3 linked regions of the Drosophila melanogaster genome follow. The protein of the gene in region 1 interacts with the protein of each later gene in a pairwise test. Each region holds a gene or a part of one and is shown in the gene's direction. Other genes may lie near its edges.

Region 1 (4,406 bases):
ACTAAACTCAGCGTGTGTGCACGAAAGAGAGGGGCGAGCGCTAAGAGGGAGTATGAGAGGGAGAGAAAAACACATGGTTCCAGGCCACGCGAATCTGCGATATAAAATGCATCCTTAGAAATTACAGAAGAAAACAATTGCAGATAAAAAAAACAGCAACAACAACAAAATGGGTGGACGAGGAAAGAGCGAAAGGCGCAAGAAAAGGAGAAACAACAATTATTGAATGAGTTGGCTACTGCTCCTTCTTCTCATTATTATTCTCCTTCATCAGCTTCTGCAGCCGCTTTGTTTTTGTTTTATGCATGTGTGTGTGGGTAAATGTGAGTGTGTCAAAATTTAGCAACAAAGAAATTTATATTAAGTCATGCTATTGACGGCAACAACAAAAAAGCCAGCTAACTTAAACTTACCATTTTGATTCTCCTGCTTACTGCTAACGGTGGTTGTTCTTGATGTTCGTCCCTCCGATGGTTCTTGTTGTTGTTGTTAACCACAAAAAAAAAATCAACAGACCGCGCACCCACGCGTTTTTCGTTCTTTTCTTGGTTTTTTTTTGTGTTTTGTTTAAAATTTATATATTAATTTCTTTTTAACAATGCGTTTTTGATGCTGTCAACGGAACAGAACAATTGTGCGGCAAGTTAGATAGCAAATGCAGCAAATATAAAAGGCTGGACTCCGCAATTTTCAGCGCGTTAGAAATGTTTTTGTTGTTGTTGTTCTTCCTGTTGTTATTGGTGTTGCGATAATGACTGCATGCGTGTGTGCATGCGTGTGTGTTGTTGTTGTTGAGTGTGTTTTTCTTTTGTTGCTGCACGCGGTATTTCGCTTCGGATAAATTTGTTCGTATGCGTTGTACCGCGCAATACACGCAAAACGAGGAATCGGAATAAAGGAGGAAGGAAACGAGAACGAGACGAGAATGAAGCGACGAAGCCGAAAACACACGTAACATGCCAACTATCGCAACTAACGAGATGCCAACTAGATAGAGCTGGAAAAACATCGATGAGAATCGATAATGGTGAAGCGAGAAAACGTCAGTTTGACGATTATTGATAAGAATGCCGATGTATACTAAAACTTATATTTGGGCACACTTATTTATAGCGTGTTTGCTCTAAAAATATTAATAGCTTAATATTACTTATAATATATATATATGGAAAATATTTTAAAAATATAGATATTTAAATGAAAACATTTTAAATTGCACAAAGGGAGACATAATAAACTTACTTGGTATTTAAACAAATCTATCGGTCTGGCACGCGGTGCACACAAGACTATCGATAAATGGCGCGCGTCTTATTTCTTTATATTTCATGATATATATCCGTTAAATTCTAATCACGTTACAACAAAGTATATGCAAGTTTAACATGGTAAATGAGAAGCGAGCTTCAGCTGTTGCATTTAAATAAATGATGCCAACTGCAATGTACATTAATGCATTTAAATATGTTTTGCCAACTTTAATGTTCAGCTAATTTGTTTATGAAACTGAAAGTAATTAGAAGACTTTCAATCTAAAAAAAGTATAGAAAAAATATATATTGACATTCAAGATATTTAAGATACTTGTGGGGTATTAATTTGCAAAATTTCTGCAAACTTCGACGCTATCGATAAGCATCGATTATTCTTTTTCTTCCACCTCTAGCACCACATGCGTGTTGTTGCTTGGGCATCAAAATTTGTCGGTAAGTCTGGTTTTCCCGCTTTCAATTTCGCAATCCGCCGACACAAGTCCCTAAAAGTCCGCCGATTTCAGACGGTCCGCGTTGCTGATTGTTATTGAGAAGATAAGGAACGAGAAGAACCGGTACTACGCCAGGAGACAGGACTCAGGATCAAAGGCTTCCACGGACACGAAAAGGAATCCACATAGCTAACGAAATGCCTAACGACACTGTGGTAAAGGTGCAGGAGTACAAGGACTCGTTGATCCTCAAGGCAGAGCTGCTAATCACCAAGGGGTTCCCGGAGAATATCGTCCGGCTGAACGAGCTGCTGGCCACGCCGATCTTCAACGAGCGCAACTTCGAAGAAGTGCACCAGGACCTCAACATCCCGGTCCTGCCGCCTCTCCTGGTTAAAAACGAGTTGGAGGATCGTGACAGTCTGCCCACCAAGCGCCAGCGCGTGGATGTCATCGTCTCTGGGCAGCCTGTCATGGGTCTGCCCGCCGGTACAGTGCCGTGCAACAAGCCGCTCTGCGAGATGATCAAGGTCGTCAAGCCTATCATCAGGAAGCTTGTGGAGGATTGTAAGTACACCGTATATTCAAGCGTCTCAACCTAATAAATGTTTTTATGCTATTCAAGAGCCCCTTCAATTTTCCTAAAACAATGAATTCCAAGAATTTTTACATTCGAACGGTACAAATGCCAGTAGCTAAAGTTTTGCCTGACATTAAGCTTTTTAATGAATACCTAGTAATTTCTGAATTGATTTCTTTTGCAGCCAATCTACTTAAGATGTGGATCTCCTTTATGATACCCAAGATCGAGGATGGCAACAACTTTGGCGTCTCCATTCAAGAGGACACGCTTGCCGAAATTCAAACTGTGGAATCCGAGGCGGCCGCCTTCTTTGACCAGATATCGCGCTATTTCTTGTCGCGCGCCAAGGTGGTGTCCAAGGTGGCCAAGTATCCGCACATCGATGATTATCGGCGCGCAGTCGTCGAACTTGACGAGAAGGAGTACCTCAGCTTGTGGCTGGTCGTTTGTGAGGTCCGCAATCGCTACTCCTCGCTGCACGACATTGTTATTAAGAACCTCGAGAAGCTAAAGAAGCCGCGCTCCTCAAATACCGAAAGCCTGTATTAGGCTAGGTATTTCCGAAGCCCGAGCCTCAACTTTTTTTTTTCCTTTCCATCATCTTACTTTTCAATCAATAATCAGCCCGTAGAGCGGACGGTCAGCAATTCTTGTCGCTACTCAAAAAGCTAAGATTTTCCAATTCGGTTTACAAACATCAAAATTCTTTAATTGAAGAGCAGTGATTGAACAATAGCTGTAGCCTAACTACCATCAACTATTAATCCATTTGTACTACGTCTAGAATGTAATGTTGAGATTGGCGTACAATACAAGAAACCGATGCTGTATAGATTCCACTAATAGCTATAGCTATGCATAAAAAGAATAGGCGAGCTCCATTGACACATTTTTTCAACATTTCCTAATGTAAATTTATAACACGGGCGCCCCTCATACGGAAAATGTCCTTAAAAATGTGTGAAATATAAATCTTTATAAGTAATTCGCTCCGAATAGGTAACACTGTGCTTGTTTTCTTGTTTTACGTATTGACTATGGGTTCTACTTTGGGGATTGATATCTATCGCAAAATCGAAACAGGCGCCCAGACATTTAATAAGGTGGAAATTATTGCATTCGATGCGGCCAATCGAAAAAGACAACCTTCTGATTTAACAGTTCAGAAAATTCTTAACGTTACTATGAATTAAAAATGCCCGCCAAAATGTCACATAGTAAATTCTTTTGCGTTCGATATTTGTTTAAAACTGGAAAAAAAAACAAGAATTAAATATTGCTTACCAAATCTACCAATTCTGTATATATGCACAATTTCTTTAAGTGTGTTTGCCAGACAGCTGCAATGCTATAGCTGCCTGCTACGGCACTTCGGTTCGAACATGTTCGCTTCAAACGCCCGCCAAACAGAAAATTCAAAACACCAAATGGTTTAAAAAAAAGGAAGTGTATATTGAATAAATCAAGAACATAATTACTATTTACAGCTAGTACTATCGAATTTATATTTACAACTAATTTAACTACATCTCGACCCCATACATACAAAAACATACATAAAAAACTAACATCTCTAGTTTTTTTCTCACAATTTTAAAAACTATCACTTAGAATAGCTGACGGAAAACAAACAAAATAAGAATATTCTTGCTGGTGTGTGCTAAATTTAGTTGCGTGGATTATTTATAGTAATGCATTAAGTTAGTGCTAATACTTTCGATTTCTTTTTTTTTTATTTAATTATTTTCTTTTGATCCTAACTCGTGTCCGGTAAATTGGACTTTCGATTCGATTTCGAGGCACTTTTAATTTGTTGTTGGCAGTGGTTAAGTATATATTCTATATTCGGAATTTTCTCGTCGTTCCCTACAACTTAGCCTGTAAGGCTTAAATCTATATATGACAATAACATTTTTCACAAAGATTATCAACGTTTTGGGCTTAGCTAAATCTTTAAATCTAAGCTCAGTACTGACATCAGCTAGATATAAAGTAGGTTCTTTATATTTTTTTTGGGTTTCAAGACATTACAATCAAAAGGCAATCCCCAGCATTATTTTTTGTTTTGTTTTGTTGGGTCTAATTCTTAAGTGTTTAGCATTCTTTAATTAGTTGCAG
Region 2 (3,284 bases), on another chromosome or scaffold:
TTAAACAATGGAATGACTTTGATGTCGGACGTGGTGGTGGTCTGCGTGGGTTGCACGCCAAACACGGATCTCGCGGGACCCAGCAGGCTAGAGGTGGACAGAAGTCTCGGCGGTTTTGTGGTTAATGCAGAGCTGGAGGCCAGGCGGAACCTGTACGTGGCCGGTGATGCTTCCTGCTTCTTCGATCCTCTGCTGGGCAGGCGACGGGTGGAGCACCATGATCACTCGGTGGTCTCTGGTCGGCTGGCCGGCGAGAACATGACGGGAGCAAGTAAGTTACTGGGCTTAAAGTTAATAACCGATCGATCATAATGTTCGCCGTACCTTTTGCAGAGAAACCTTATCAACATCAGAGCATGTTTTGGTCCGATCTAGGTCCAGAGATCGGATACGAGGGTATTGGCTTGGTGGATTCCTCGCTACCCACCGTTGGTGTGTTCGCCCTGCCCTCGGAATCCGCCACGCGCGTTGACCAACTGTCTGAGTCTAGTGATTCCGACGTGCCGGAGACCAGTACGAGTTCCAGCCAGTCGTCAAAATCTGATGCCGGGGCTAGCCAAGATGGCGTTACCTGTGATCCCGATGAGGCGGGCAACTATGGCAAGGGTGTAATATTCTACTTGAAGAACGACAAGATCGTCGGCATCCTGCTGTGGAACCTCTTCAATCGGATAGGCTTAGCTAGGACAATAATCAATCAGAATAAGAAGTACGATGACCTCAATGAGGTGGCCAAACTGTTCGAGATTCACGCGTAGAGAACAGCGAGTCCCGAGGGACCATGGAGAAGATCTGGCTACCCTGATATGCTTATCAGCACGCACCGAACAGAACCTATCCAACCCGAATGCCTTTAACTGTGTTTACTGTGTACATTTGCAACTGCAACTAGATACGAACGGCAATGACGCAATGCAACAGAAATTTTAGTTTTATTATTTTTGGAATAAACCTTATTTTGTAGTCAACGACATTGATTCGGTTATGTAGCAGCAAAGTGCATATCTCCGTGTAAATATTGAAAAGTCGTAGACAAGCGGGTCTCTGTTGAATTGTGTGTAACTTTCGTAATAAACCAAGCACCAGAAAGTTGTTGACAAAAAATTCACCGTACCAACTAAACTGTTCAAATTATTCATTTTCGGTGTTGAAAAATCCGCTTTTTGATCCTGAGGCACCCGTTATTTAACTAATCCTAAGAGATTTTGCTTTGATTCTTATTTAAATAAATCGTAGGAACTTTGGAACTTATTTTTTTTACTTCAATCATATAACCCATTTGTTTATTGTCCGAGTTGTCTCACAACGGCACAGAATTTAAATGTACATATTTTTTTGGAATTTTCCCAGAATTTGACTAAACCATCTGCCTTATAAAAGACGAGCACCTGGTTTAGGGTTTTAGGCTGGATTAGCTGAATATAGCGAGGATCAATAAAATTCGCGAAATATTATTTTCGCTGAAGTAGGATCCTACCTGACTTCTTGTGCCAAAGGTGGTTACTTATTAGGGCCACTCGGATTACCGACCAATTGGTAGGTAGAGCCCGAGAACGGGTGGCCCATAAGCAGGTACATCCTTGGGATATATAAACTTTGCCCTGAGACAAGCAGGACATCAGTTCCTTCTCGACAGTCTAATCATGAAGTACCGCATGTTGAATAAACGCAAACAGGCGACTCCCTCGCCAGTAAGAGATTCCGACGCAGCCGACGTAGCCATGGCCAACCACAGTGCTCTGGAACTGGAGGCGGCTGCGGCTCTCTTGTTGCTCCGCTACCAATACGATCGACAAGTGTGCAATAACATTATAACCTACACGGAGTCCTGTTCCCCGACTCCACCGCCGGCAGTTGCTGACAACACGACGCCAAAAGATCAGACTGTTCGTCCGCCAGTCGCCAGCCAGCCGCTGAAGAAGCGCTCCATACCATCGCACATCCTCCGCAGATCCCTGACTCCGGCCAAATCCGAGACTTCAGTGAGCAACAAGTCGATAGTCAAGGCCAAGACGAGGACTCCAATTCCCAGTAAGGAGCGAAACTGCAACAGGACCTTGCTTAAGTCCTGCAGAAATATGATTCGAGAGTTTTTGGACAATCAGGAGTTTATCTAAAAAAAAAAGTTTAACTATGTATCCTAGGATAACCGCCTGAAACCAATTCTACATTTGTAATTTTACACAAATCAAGATTTTAGAAATCTTCGCAAAAAACGCCACAGTGAATTGCACGATTGCAGAAAAGATCGAAACGAAATCCTTAAACAAATGTAGCCCAGTATATAACAGTCCCGAGAAAGATGAAGGCGATCGATCCTTGGGATCTTGGATTTCAGTTTTCAATTTATTTATTGCATATAAATTTGTTTCCTTTTTTATACATATATAAATTATGTATTGATCGAAAGATAACGTTTTCAATGGAAGAACAGGTATTGTGGCGACACTAGAGTGCTAATTATTAGCTATTGGCGGTGTTTAAACTTAAGGCGTACGAAAAACAAATAGAAAATTAACTTTAGCGTAGATCTACACAATAATTAATAATTACAGTTGCACTACAGGCTAATTGTATGAACGTGCAGCGATGATATCTTCTCCTAACTCTGTTCATTCCGTTTAATGTAATTAATAAAGTGCTTCAAATGTACATTTTCTATTGTTTCATTGTGTTTTTAGCGGGTGAGTGCGTTGTGGGTGGTGGTGGGTTGTGGAAGTGTGGTGGTAAGATCGTAAGCGTTTTACAAACTAAAGTTGTTAATGCTTAAATGAACACCTTCATTTGCTGCCACAGCGATTGCAGCCACTTAAACTAGCGTACAAATAATAAAAATAAAATTAAGAGCAATAGAAAACTAATGTGTATACATATATGCTTGTGTGTATCATCATTGCTATATTAAAATGGAAGCCAATGTTTTTCTATCCGTGTTTCTTGTTGCAGTGTATCTAGGGCTAGGGGCTCAATTGAAATTGAATTTTGAAAGCTCTTTTTCCAGGCTGATCTTGAAGCAAGAGCAGACCCATCCTCGCACGAAGGATCGCCAAACTGTTGCAGGATGGCTTTTTGGAACTGCTCTGGTTTCGTTAGCATTCAGCCAATGTGAATCAAAGATAATTCTGTTGTTATCACACGAAATCAATTTGTCTTGTTGTATACAAAAACTCTTTCTATGCTGATTTGTATATTAATTAACAATTTCGACAACAATTCAAATTTCATATTTCCTTCACATTCTCTCTTTAGATTTTAACAATATTTGTTTGTTTTTTGTTCTTTTT
Region 3 (6,834 bases), on another chromosome or scaffold:
TTGGCTTGCCTATATTTGCGTTTTTTTTTTTAGTTCACAGTTTTTCATTATTTCAAATTGGCAAATTAGCTTAAAAAATTTGATTTAATTTTGTATACTTTATTTTACGCTTTGATTGTTTATCCCGGCCAATGCCTTGAACTTTCCCATGGAGAGCGTTCTCCGCGTTTAAAATTAGCTGAGTTTTATATTTAGAACACTTGAGATCGATTTAATTGCGGTGTGATTTTAAATTGGCTTTTGAACTTTCGTAATGGATTCGATCGACCATGAACGGTTGGATATCCGCGAAATCAGAGGTCACTTACATAATTCGATTTCACTTGACGCGTCTTGCCGCACTCAAAACTGCCACTGCCAGCTGGTAGCACATGAATATATATATATATATATATATATATATATATATATATATATATATAGGGATATATATATTTTCCTGATATCTAGCCACAGCGCGACATGAAAATTCAGCTACGGTCTCGTTCGACGATCGTCTCCCAGCGAACTGAAATCTCAATCAGATTCTAAACAGCACTTTTACTGCAGTCCGCGGTCCCCAGTCGTCGCCCGAGTAGGAGGAAGTCAACGCAGATCTATGTGCTCCTCTGGTCTCGTCTGGTACGGTTTCCCCCTGGTGATCCCCTCAATCCTCGATCAGTCGCATCTCTTTCCTATTTTCAGCATTTTCGCGTTGTTTTATAAATACATCGTTTTCGAGCGGCATAGAACATTTTGACTGCGAGACGCCGTCGCGTGTGTGAATATCATTAATTCTCGAATATATATCATTCTCAGCTATTTGTTGTTAAACATTTTACGTTGTTATACGGAACTGATTACTTGTTGCGTTTCTTTTTCATGAATGAAAATATGACAATTGTATCGAATTGATGTCCTGCGATCTGATCGACTATTGAACTTTATGGCGTACCTACATATATCATTACCAAAGTTCAAGTTCAATGGAATTTCAGATAACATAAATATTTCCGCATTAATTCTTATTATTTATCTAATATTTTATCCAAAAAACCGTGGCGCCTGGGGAAAGCGCTGAATCGTTCATCGGGATACACGCCAGCTATAATTATGATTTATGAAAAACAAGTATCTGAAGGGATCTCCCGCAGTTTAGCCTTGAACAAATTCTGCACATTTAATGCTAACAATAAAGAAGAACATCTATTAATTTTGGATCGAACAAATGGTATCAGCAATAAAAGCATCGCCATGGGCCACCTGCTGCCGGCCGGAGGTGCAAATCGAGTGGCAATTTCGATGGATGGACGATGGATGGGAATTATGGAATTAAAGCCTCCGTGGGTGGGTCCATTTTCGGTTTTCCTAGCTAGCTGGTCTAAAAATAAATACAATGCATAATAAATTGGCTGCGCGACAAAGTCAAAGTTCGACAATTGCCGGCACGCACATTTTCGGTTGGGAGACCATTTGCCCACCATCCTGCAAAAATGGGTGGGCCGCCCACGCAGTGACCTTGCCGCGTTTGACGCAAGCCGATGTTTTCAGGATCAGCTGACTGTCAGCTGTATGTAAACAAGTTAAAATGCCGGGTTCCTCTCCTTCGGCCACTGCAAAGCATTCGGGAAGCTTTCCCATGAGCGCTTGTGTAGAAATCGCGCGCCATTTTCCGGCCGAGCTTTTCCCGAGCAATATTCTATTCGAAGTGGCATGTAGATATTATGTAGATTTTCTTGCAATCGATAACAGCTGCGAACGTAAAGCCCTTCGAATGTTAACGAAACCCCTGAGTTTTGGCCAGCATTTTCCGGCTGCATTCGCGAAATGTTCGCTGCAGGCAATGGACGCGAGTGGAAAACTCAAAGGAAAATATTTACGGTTAGCCTGCCGCCATCGTGTTGCGTGTACAAAAGGGGCGTGTGCGTGCGCTAGTGTGTGTGAGAGAGTGTGTAGTTGTGGGCCAGGGGAATTGAGAATTTACTAGTAGTATCCCAGTTGGGCGCTCAAGCAGTACGTGCGAAAAATTAAGCGTTAAAAAAGTGCCTTTATAATTTACCGATTATCCTGACATTACTTTGCCCTATACTAGTTTAGTAGCCCAAAAACCTACGATCATTCAATCAGGTATATATTTAAAACAAAAGAAGCTGAGTGTTTGCTTAGCAAAAAGTTGCATAAATTGGCAAAAATAATAATGAAAATTAATCAAAAAGGGTGACGAATTTAAGGTACAAGAATTTAAGCTTGCAAAGTACATGAAGTGCGCCAAAAAAACTGCAGTGCAATGTTCACCTTCACCCAGTGTGTATGACATGCAGGCAAATGAAAAATCGATACCAGAAGCATCAGCAGTTGCAACGCTCTACGACCGCTCCCAATTAGCCACAAGGAACTGCATCATCGCGCAGCAGGTCCCTTGAGCCCGAACATCGTACTTCCAGTGGACTTGGGGCAGGACACTATCTCCATGGTGGATGCCAAGCCGCAGCCACCCACTCCGGGCGCAATGCCTGGAACGGGAACACCGCCGGGCGGATTCGCCGGCGAGCGATCGAAGATCAAACTGTTCATGGAACGGACGCCCAGCATTGGAGCCCTCAAGTCCAAGTTCCTCACCGTGCTGGGCAACAGCAACGAGCTGCTCAACGGAATATCGAACAAGGTATGACTACAACTAGTGATGACAGCGTGAGCAGCGTGGTAAAAGATACAAATACTACAAGGGTCATGGTAGTACTAATTAGGGATTAGTTACTAAAGATTGTTTTAAACCTGGCACTAAGTTACGTTAGCTGGTTATTACTTTGTTAAGATGCTATGTAGGATTCATTACATAAAATACCATAGACATATTTCATGGACTCACGAGTGACTGTGGGTCACGCATACCTCTAGGGCTCAGTTGGGGCAGCCTTGGTAATGAACGCGACAAGAGGTGCTTGCTGGTGGTTGCGGGGGGAAAGGGGATTGTGTGTGGGTTCTGTCTATGCTGCAAAAGCAGAAGCAACTGACACTTTGATGCTTTTGTTGTGCCGTTGTGTTTGTTCTTGCTATTTCCGCTTTGCTGCTGCACTCGGTTGACCTTCAGTGGGGAGGCCCGAATCCCAATCCCAGTCAGCGCTTGGGGCATGTGCCGGCTATGGATGGGGCTAGAAATGCAAAAAGGGGGGGGGGGGGTACATTCTCTGCTGCTCCGCTTGTACTTGACTTTCTCTCGCTTCGGGCTCGGCAGCCTTGTCCTTGATTGAAATTAATTATATTTGCAGCAGCCGAGAAGAAGGAAGGCGTGCAGCCTTCGATATTTCTAAAGCTATGTTTTCCTTGGATTATCAATCATTCAGAACTGTGTGTTAAGTAATCATTGCAGATTTTTAAATTGCATTTATCATGCTTCTAATGTATGATACGAACCACTTGTAGGAGTTCCAAAACTTAGCGGAATCCTTTTATAGCAGGTAGAAACCTTTTCAAAATACGTCAGGCAGTTGTAAATCAAACTGACTCAATTAGGCCTCAGATATATACATATTCGAAAGTATATTCAGTACACCCCACATATGATCGACTTTCTTTTGAAATGCGCCTTTTACTTTGTTTACGTACAGCTGACCCTGAGCAGCAGTTCCAGCGACTCTGATTACTGCGATGACGATGAAGATATACCCAAGTGTGAGTACTGCGAAGTACCATAGATACAAACGAATACAGTTTGGGCATACAATATGATTTTACTTCACAGTTGACGAGAGCATTGATTATACCAAGATCGACTTCGAAGGACGACGTGTGAAGGCGCGACGAGCTCACGAGGAGATCATCTCAGGACGATATCGTCAGCCCAATTTGGCACCGAGTAAGTACAACACAACTACAAACCAAATCATCGGAGTCCTATATTTCAACTCATTTTTAGGGCCACGTCTGGAACCATCACGTGGGCGTCATGCGGCCAGCAAACTGGGTGCACCCCTTCGCTCCAGCTCCGGCTCCTCGAGCAGCTCCAGCAGCAGCGACGACAGCAGCTCTGTATCCCTGCCCGAGCATATGGCCAATCGTTCTCATGACGTGAGCAGCACCACACGCTCGGATTCCATAGAGTCGCGTCACTCCGGCGGATATGAGAGGGCCAGGGCAATCGCAGGAGCCCGTCGCAGCGAGATGGACATGCAAAAGGATGTCCAGAGGATCGGCGAAGTGGGCGACACTGTGCCGCCGCACATAGATGTTCAGCCGCCGACGGAGGCGGGAGCGGGATCCGGAGGACGGCAGCAGTGGGCGGGCGGAAGCAACTCGATGCGCCTTCCGTCGCGCAGTCGCGCCTCGAACAGCAGCACTCTGACCAGCCTGCGCGATGAGCCGGATCAGCTATTGGCCAGCCCCAGCATGGAGTCCACCGACTGGCGGCACTTTATCCGATCGGAGTCGCAGAACTCGGTGCCCTCATGGGCTTCCTCCATCAGCCTGGATTGCCGAGCGGGCGAGGAACCGGTCAAGGAGTTTATGAAGCACTTTACCGCTCTGCTATTTGGCGGATCTCCGGGAGCCGTTGATCTTGAGCTGAAGTCGGAGTTTGGCGTATTGCTGCGTCTGGAGATCGGTCGACTGTGGTTCACCCGCTTTCTCACCGAGCAGCGCCACAAGTCCAAGCGACTGGACTCGGTCACGTTCGGCAGTCTGGCCCAATACTTTGCACTGGCCCTGTTTGAGTGCAGCGAGTGCGAGGATTATGGCCCGGCTGCGGTACTGATGAACCTCTGTTTCCTTTTCTACCACGAGGTCGAGGTGCCCGGCTGCGATCCTTATCGCGAGTACCTGTTCTCCTCGCTGCGCCAGCAACCCATCTGGCAGCAGGCGCGGTTCTGGAACGCAATCTTCCACGACGGCATGCAGGCGGAACGGGAGCATCGGGGTCAGAGCCAGATGAGGCGCCAAAAGCGTCGACAGCAGAAGCAGCAGCAACGGCAGGCAGCTGCCGGAGCAGGATCAGGAGCGGGAACTGCAGATGGCCCGCCTACCAAGTCGCAGCGCAAACAGGGCGGCGACTCCTCCTCCAGCTCCTCGCATCAGGCGGCACAGTCGGGCACTCCGGCGGCTCAAGCCTGCACTGGTTCCATTCCAGCCAACCGGAGGCCCAGCAAGACCAGTCTCACCCAGGCGCATTCGCTTCGGGACCAGGAGGACATTGCATTTCGGCAGCTTGGGTGAGTTCTTCTTGATTCTGGAAATGTTTCATTTTTCCAAAGTGTTTATTATGGAATACACACTTATCCACAGGGCATTGACGTGCAATATGCACTCACTGGGGACATCCCAGGAATTGTGCCTTGACTTTCTGAAAAAGAACGTGGTGGCCCATAACCTATCCAAGGGTAAAAGCATCTAAAGTTTTCTAAATTATTGGAGTAACTAATATAGATTTCAATTCATCCAGATAAAGCCAAACTAATCAGAGACAATATATATCGAATGTACCATGAGACGCAACTTTGGGGAGCTCGACACGCCTGAGGTGATTTAACAGCTATCAATTAATTAATTAATTGCTAACCCTTTTTTTTCTTAATTCACAGCAGTAACAATTGTAAAAGTACCTAACAAAATCGAGTTTCAATCTTCGTCTCAACTAAAGCTAAACTTTTGTCTTAAGTCAGCCGACACCTCGAAACTAATCCTAACTAAAGTAGCAGATCAATGAAGTTTTATCTGAAATCTGGTGTTTTTACTCGCGTTGTCGTAACCGTAAAGATATTAATACGATAGTCATTCTTGTAACTGGATTTGAAATATAATGAATGTATGGGGAAATGCTTGTATTTATTTTAACATCTATAAAGACGAATATTATATAATGTTGTTAATAAATTGGGATTTCTAAAGACGTCATCGTTCAATTTTCAACGTAGCTAAACAAATTGGAATCGCATATCAAAATTAAGTTTGGAATCAAAACCAGTTACAAGAACATCCGTACTGCGAATGATAAGAGGGCACTTTAACCAATACTGTACGTGTATCCATAAATTGTGATAATAATATTTTGTGATTACTTTATATAGACCTAAATACTATGAAATTATGCAGTGCATATAGTTAAAATATCGCAGTTTAAATTGTTACAAATCAAGATCAATAACTATGCTATAACTATGTTTGTAATGAAAGAGATAATATTTCGCAATTGTTTAATACATTCAAATTAATAAAAGTCTAACGAAATTCAAAAAAATTTAATTAAAATTATTATAAAATAGTTTTTCTTTCAACACGTCCGCCTAAAAGTAGGTAATTGATTTTTAAGAAGGAAAGTCAACGAAAACACAATATGGATTCTTATATTCTCTGTTCTTTATTAAAATGATACAACGCAAAAACATTATTCGCTTAACTTCTTTTTATTTTTTTGTGTGAATGAAATATGTTTAAAATAAATTAAAATTTTGATTTGTTAGTCGCATAAATAAGACTGGAATTTCTTAGTTACTGTGGTTGTTGCTTTAAAAATTGCACTACTTAGAGGTTCTTGAATACTTTCCAGTTTGAAAAAAAAATAATCGACATTCAGCTTAGATCAAAATGTTTCGTTCTCCATGATTTGCATACATTTAACAATTATAATTTATTTAGTTGCTTCTTTGTACAAATTGAACAAGCCTAGGCGATGTGCGGGAAACAAAGAATTTTTCGGGCATGTTTCAACATTTATAAATTAAAACTAAATACAACTGACAGAAAATAATGATCGTAATTACAAGAATTCATAATGAAATAATATGATAAATATTAATAATAATAACTGATAGCAATAGACAAGCTAAAAGCTATAACAACAATTGCGTGTGTACGATTTGAACT

The links. Proteins that work in one complex are often made in the same cells at the same time.
Region 2: the proteins of REG (region 1) and CG15382 interact in a two-hybrid assay, tested with the Drosophila melanogaster proteins (one large-scale study listed by BioGRID).
Region 3: the proteins of REG (region 1) and CG17378 interact in a two-hybrid assay, tested with the Drosophila melanogaster proteins (one large-scale study listed by BioGRID).

Annotation. Positions count from the first base shown.
Region 1 is NC_004354.4:13,210,687-13,215,092, forward strand, and holds REG (proteasome regulator gamma), read left to right. Parts: upstream 1-1,638; 5' UTR 1,639-1,706; intron 1,707-1,763; 5' UTR 1,764-1,902; coding exon 1,903-2,272; intron 2,273-2,469; coding exon 2,470-2,837; 3' UTR 2,838-3,722; downstream 3,723-4,406. Other genes in the region: sno (strawberry notch), read right to left, coding at 414-416.
Region 2 is NT_033779.5:2,154,140-2,157,423, forward strand, and holds CG15382 (uncharacterized protein), read left to right. Parts: upstream 1-1,613; 5' UTR 1,614-1,643; coding exon 1,644-2,117; 3' UTR 2,118-2,651; downstream 2,652-3,284. Other genes in the region: AIF (apoptosis inducing factor), read left to right, coding at 1-271, 334-758.
Region 3 is NT_033779.5:6,772,244-6,779,077, forward strand, and holds CG17378 (uncharacterized protein), read left to right. Parts: upstream 1-1,797; 5' UTR 1,798-2,449; coding exon 2,450-2,644; intron 2,645-3,468; exon of another isoform or gene 3,469-3,539; coding exon of another isoform or gene 3,540-3,587; coding exon 3,588-3,651; intron 3,652-3,721; coding exon 3,722-3,835; intron 3,836-3,895; coding exon 3,896-5,183; intron 5,184-5,256; coding exon 5,257-5,351; intron 5,352-5,413; coding exon 5,414-5,490; 3' UTR 5,491-5,491; intron 5,492-5,552; 3' UTR 5,553-6,201; downstream 6,202-6,834.